Linked DNA regions of Mus musculus: region 1 is reported to be linked to region 2. The links are microRNA targets in miRTarBase. Many come from high-throughput screens and were not tested one by one. Region 2 holds a microRNA gene; the other region holds the end of a gene's coding sequence.

What was found. Region 2 holds the annotated microRNA mmu-miR-340-5p (UUAUAAAGCAAUGAGACUGAUU, at 855-876, shown strand). A microRNA usually pairs through its seed, bases 2 to 8, with sites in the 3' UTR of a target mRNA and lowers its output. Matches are read on the target gene's strand: a 7mer-m8 pairs with bases 2 to 8, a 7mer-A1 pairs with bases 2 to 7 and ends in A, and an 8mer does both.
Region 1: miRTarBase lists Ccl28 as a target of mmu-miR-340-5p. Seed matches in the 3' UTR shown: 7mer-m8 at 899-905, 7mer-m8 at 1,615-1,621 and 7mer-A1 at 2,300-2,306.

Annotation. Positions count from the first base shown.
Region 1 is chr13:119,650,429-119,653,586 of GRCm38, forward strand. It overlaps Ccl28 (chemokine (C-C motif) ligand 28), which reads left to right. Exons shown (of 3, transcript NM_020279.3): 3 at 437-3,158. The coding sequence ends at 638. Among named protein-coding and RNA genes, the nearest start is that of 1700074H08Rik, 28 kb to the right of the region's middle.
Region 2 is chr11:50,068,866-50,071,865 of GRCm38, forward strand. Mir340 (microRNA 340) reads left to right here and starts at 837; the gene lies at 837-934. Rnf130 (ring finger protein 130) reads left to right here. Exons shown (of 9, transcript NM_021540.4): 3 at 2,306-2,556.

The DNA of each region.
Region 1 (3,158 bases), not on the chromosome of region 2:
CCCTTTGTTTCTCTTTTTCCCCCTTCTCTTCTCTTTCCCGTTCTCTTCCTCTTCATCCAACTTACCCTTCCCTGGTCCTCAGTTTAATACTTTCCGAAGACATCTGAAGACAATGGAAACAATGTCTATAAAATAAGAATTTATCCTCTTGGTGTTCAATTTGAAGTCACTACAAATGCAATGTCCACAAGGTGGGGGCTACTCACAAGTCACTAGTTCTTTTATGTATTTGTAATTCTTTTGTTTTTCTTGTCACAGGCAGGATTTCTCTATGTAGCCCTGGCTGTCCTGGAAGTCACTGTAGACCAGTGTGGCCTGTATCTAGAGATCCCCCTGCCTCTGCCTTCCCAGTGCTGGGATTAAAGTTGCGTGTCACCACACCTGGCTTATATTTGTAATTTCTGTAAAGATTCGTTTTTTCCCGCTTTCTTGGCAGCCTTCATGTTAAACGTAGAAGAATCTGCATCAGCCCGCACAATCGTACTTTGAAGCAGTGGATGAGAGCCTCAGAGGTAAAGAAGAATGGCAGAGAAAACGTATGTTCTGGGAAAAAACAACCCAGCAGGAAGGACAGAAAAGGGCACACTACGAGAAAGCACAGAACACGTGGAACACACAGGCACGAAGCCTCTCGTTAGAACAGACATGTGAACCTACAGTGAACTCCTCAAGTGAACTGGCCCATATCTGGTTATAAATTTCTCAGCTGAATCTTCCTTATTGACACCTAATGCTTTGTCTTGTTTCATTTCGTTTTGTTTTGTTAATGAATAACTGCAGCTAAGGATGTAAGCACTTGGGTTGTACATGTAGGTTCAATCCCAGCACCAAAAGCAAAACAAACAAAACTGTGCACAAGTAACCAATATAGTTAACTTAAAAACTATATAAAATCCATCTTTATATATAAATTCTAACTATATAGAATTCCTCCAACTTTTTTTTATTCAAGTTTTCCAGCTCTACAGAGGAGTTGAAAGAATGGAACATGGGCTATATACATACCTGCCACCTACATTATTAGTCACTATTAATCTCTCTGTGTGTCTCTGTCTCTTTCTCTGTGTGTGTGTGTGTGTGTGTACATACATATAAGAACTTCTTCACTAAATCATTTGAAAAGTTGCAAACAACATGACCTATATCTTAATCCATTTCTTGTTATTAAAAGAACATTTATGATTAAGTAACCCCTAAAGAATGCAACTTTATTTAGTTCAGGTTCCTGAGGTGAGAACACCTAAGACCTTGGCACTTATATCTGGTTAGCATCTAGTGAAGACCTTCTCACTGGGCCTTAGTGTGACAGCTGCATATGACGAGAATCCTCTTCCTTTTCTTATAAAGCCACTAGCATCCGGGAGACCACACCCATGTAGCCTAGTTTAACACCAACTACACTCAATGCCCCATCTCCAAATGCCAACATATGGATTTAAGGATACATAAATATCTGGAGAACACATAGCAACACTTCAGTCCTAATTTCTAGAATTTCGCTTGCTATCCCTCAAGAATAAACACGTTTTCCTAAATAATTACACTAGCAGTTTTATACCGGGAAAGCAAACAATTCCATATTGTCTATATTCAAATTTCTTTATTTCCAGATCACTTTATATAATTCTTTTCAATCTAGCTCACCTATTGCCTTTTTTTGTGCTTTAGTGTTTTCAATATAAAATCATCTCTCAGGTGTTCTCTTTCCTGTCTTCCTTCTCTTACTTCATAGCACAGACTTTTAGAAAGAGTAAAGATTAGAGCTAGCTCTACATCCCAGGTTTGTCTGACTGGTCCTGGTGGTCAGACTTTTCCATTTCAAGCTTCCTAGGAAGATTTGTACACTTCTTGTCTCCTTTGTGGCTCTATAACATCATTTTCTAAGTAGGAGGGTATAAGCCAAGTAAGTGGTGCTTAGAGGTTTGAGTAGCTATGACCCTGTTGTAAACTCTAGCACTGAGAAACCTGGCCTCACTGTCCAGAAACTTCTCTCTTCTGTTGTGGTTCTCAGAGCAATGGCTGTATTATAAATACAGGGATCAGTCCTGGATTGGTGGGTAATTTTGTATTGTTCTTAACAAGAATCAATCAATCAATCTCTCTCTCTCTCGCTCTCGCTCTCTCTCTCTCCCCTTTCTATCTCCCCTCTGTCTCTCTCTCTCTGTGTGTGGGGTGTGTTGTGTGTGTTGAGTAAAGCTCGAGTCTGCTCCTGGCTTCCTTTGGATGAAGATGTAGAACTCTCAGCTCCTCCAGCACAATGGGTGTTGCTGGGCTTCCTGCCAACAATTAAATATTGACTTTTATAAGAAAGAACAGAGAGAGAGAGAGAGAGAGAGAGAGAGAGAGAGAGAGAGAGAGAGAGAGAAGCGCATGGAGCTCTGACTGGCCCAGAACCAGCTAAGCAGACCAGGCTGGTCCCAAACTCACAGAGATCCACCTAGCTTCCTAAATGCTAGGATCAAAGGCATGCACCACCGCACTTGACTCTAGAAGCCCATTTTTTTAAAACTCCCAATCGATCTCCTCCCTGTTTTCTGAGTTGATTCACTTTGGAGAAGTTTAGACACATGGTAAAAGCTCATTTTCCAGGAGAGCCATTAGAGCAGGGGCAGGTTTTCAGGGTGTGAGGTGTCCTTGATGCCTTGGGCAGTTCCAGGTGGTGGATTATAGGATTACCTGGAGGTACAAATAGCACACAAAGAAGTGTCCCCATTCCTGGACTCTTACAGGTTCTCCTTGCAGGCCCCACAGTGCGCTGAGTTATGTGGACATGGAGATGGGAAGGGAACTCTGTCACTTGTGTTCCCAAAGGGCAAGGGGACTCATGCTGGTTTATAGCATGAACACATCTGCCACCAGCACTGTGGGTGATGATTCTTGGCAAAAGCCACATTCATAGACCAAGATGGGCCTCAACCTGACTCAATGCACTTAACCACATACCCTCAAAGCAGAGGAAACTGCGAAATGCTTCAGTTTTTGGTTTGTGACAGCTTTTCATCAGGTCAGTCTTAGAAACTATCATTAAGTTTTGTCCGGAAGTATAGCATTTTTCTGTTCGACTCTGGCATGACTTTGAGAGGCATCACCAAAGTGCAGGCCTAAATGCCAAAGAAAGCAACACTGGATTTAAAATTGTAGTAAATACAATAAATAAG
Region 2 (3,000 bases):
TCCATTACTTCAGTCTAATTAACCCCTCTCTCCTACCAGCTACTGCTACTCTAATCCTAGTTTTATCCTGAGGGTTAAGTTTCCTCTGTTGTCATCATCCCTCCTGAATCTGCACCAACTCTCCCAAGAGTTTTTTGTTTTGTTTTTAAGGTTTATTTACTTTTTTATTGTGTGTGTGTGTGTGTGTGTGTGTGTGTGTATACCTGCATGAGTCTATGTGCACCATGTGTACAGAGCCCTCGAAGGCCAGAAGAGAGTGTCTGTTCCCTCTAGAATTGGAGTTACAGTAGTTATGAGCTGCCATATTGATGCTGGGAACCAAACCTCGTCCTCTGCAAGATCAACCAGTGCTCTTAGCCATCTCTTTAGTCCCATCCCCATTTGTAAATGTCTGAGCCATCTTGTTAGGCTCTTTGAACCCAGCCCAGCTCTAGATGTTGGGGAGAAAGAAACTTTTTTCCTAGGAGGGTTTGTAGTTTGCTTCATCACCTTCTGTAAGAGATCACTGCCTTCACTAATATCAGATGTGCTGCTGTACTTTTTTATTTGATCATTTTCAGTCTCCTTTGGCAACATTGCCCAGTCTCCTCTTTTTGCTAGGATGATAAAGCTACAGTGAGATCTATTCACTCTTGTCCTCCTAACAGTGAATATTGACAAGTGTTGAACTAATTAAATTTTTCTTTCCCAAACAGCTTCCTGTTGAGATTAGTTGACGCGCCCATTTAGTGTTCGGTTAAGGAAATTACTGGATTGGTTGCCTTGGCTACCTGTGCAGCTCTCCCCACTTCCAGCTTGAGTCTTCAAGAGGGAGCCTCAGAACTGATTTCTAAAACCAATTGTACTTGGTGTGATTATAAAGCAATGAGACTGATTGTCATATGTCGTTTGTGGGATCCGTCTCAGTTACTTTATAGCCATACCTGGTATCTTAACACCACAGATCATGCCTGTTGATCAACATTGTAAAAGCACAAACTTAAGGTTTCTAAATGGAAATTTAAACTGGTTTAGCATTCTTTTATGATTCTTTTTAACTCACTCACCAGAGGCAGATGTTAACTTAATAATGCTAGTTTTAATTTTGTTGTCTCCTTTTTGTTTATAGATTTTTTAAGCAAAAATAAACTGGTAAACTACTACTCTAATAAAGTGAATAAACCGTTTTGAATACAGTATTATGCAAATATATATTCCATTGAGCTATATTTTTTTCAAAACTTCTGTTACTGAGTTTCTGTTGTGTCTCATCTTGACTGCTAAAGGTAACAAGAAATCAAAACAAGTGTTTCTAATATTTGTTGACAGAGCCTTCAAAAGGTCAGGTCTGGGGTCTCTGCTTGCTGTTTTGAGAGGGTATTTTGTGTTTGGATGCACAATCCTCCTTCATACTCACAAAAGTGACCTTGGTGAGTAGCTGCTCACTCTGACTTAAAACAGGCCCTTGAAGCCATGTGAGAAAAGGACTTGAAAACACAACTGAACCATCCTTGTAATTAACTTATAAAAGTTGTGCCTGTGGGCAGAACTCTGAACAGCTTTTAGGAACTGAAGGTTTTAGGTATCATTATGGGTAGTAGTCCAGAAAGTTGAAACTTGGGCCTGCCTAGAGGATTTGAGTGCGCTGGGCATGGTTAAACAAGGTGGAAAACTAACATAAAACTCAAGTCTGAGGCTAGCCGAGGCAATGTGAGATGCTGGCTCCAAACTGGGTGGGAAAATTGTTGCGTTTGAGCTCCAGAAGTGCCCTGGAAGGAGCTTTACTGTAGACAGAAGACCAAAGTTAGTTTCAAAGGTTGTTGGTAAAAGATGTTGCCGTTCGGCACTTGTCACTCCATAGCCAAGTGTGTGCCCTAAGAAGTACCCTTCTTTCTGTTTCTTAGAGCAGTCCTTGCTCAGCAGTGCGTGTGAGGATGAGTAGTGCAAGGACCACCTGTTCAGACTGTAAATGACAGTGCTTCTCTGTCAGAACTTTCCAGATTGATTGCTATAGAAAGGTTTTCTACTGAAGACTTAACCTGATTTAGTCACAGGTGGCTGCTTTCACAGTGCTTCTAATGCACCGGTAAGGCAGTTTGTGCATTGTTAACACCACAGTTGCTTTATGCGTTACCTGTTTGGAGCACTGTACATGTTCTCATGCCTGTCAGTTTACACAGCTGCAGCCTCATGTCAGTTGAACTGGAATCTATAAACCTTAGTGAAAATTATGGTAATTTCTCTATGGAGCATATGTGTATATTTATTTGATGTGTCTATGAATTTCAGATGTCACTTTAGTCTGTGTATTTGTTTTACATTACAGGCACGGGAGATATTATTGCTGTCATGATAACAGAATTGAGGGGTAAGGATATTTTGAGTTATCTGGAGAAAAACATCTCTGTACAAATGACAATAGCTGTTGGAACTCGAATGCCGCCAAAGAACTTCAGCCGTGGCTCTCTAGTCTTCGTGTCAATCTCCTTTATTGTTTTGATGATTATTTCTTCAGCGTGGCTCATATTCTACTTCATTCAGAAGATCAGGTACACAAATGCTCGGGACAGGAACCAGGTGAGCTAACCAGTACTCTAGCCAGCCGTAATCCATGAGGATCTTGTGATAATACTTGTTTATGTCATATATTTAAAAACAAGACCAACAACAACAAGATAAAAACATGCCAAGTATGGTGCTGTACCCTGTAATACCTGCACTCGGGGTTTTGAGGCCAGTTGGACTACGCAGGCGTTCCAGGCCATATTCTATCTCAGTTTTAAAAAGAAAAAGAAATGAAAGAAAATGTTGTTCTACATAATCACACTGTAACTATCAAAGTCAGTAAATGAATGTCCTTTCAGTACATTTCCTGACCTATCGGCTCTCTCAGGTTCTCCAGAACTGCTTAGAAGTATCCTTAAGGGCAACAAAAACCCCAGATTAGTTAGGCCAGAATGTGTGTTACATTTAGTTGTGCTGTCTCTTTACTGCTTCCTGATACTGGCATCTCAGAAGAGC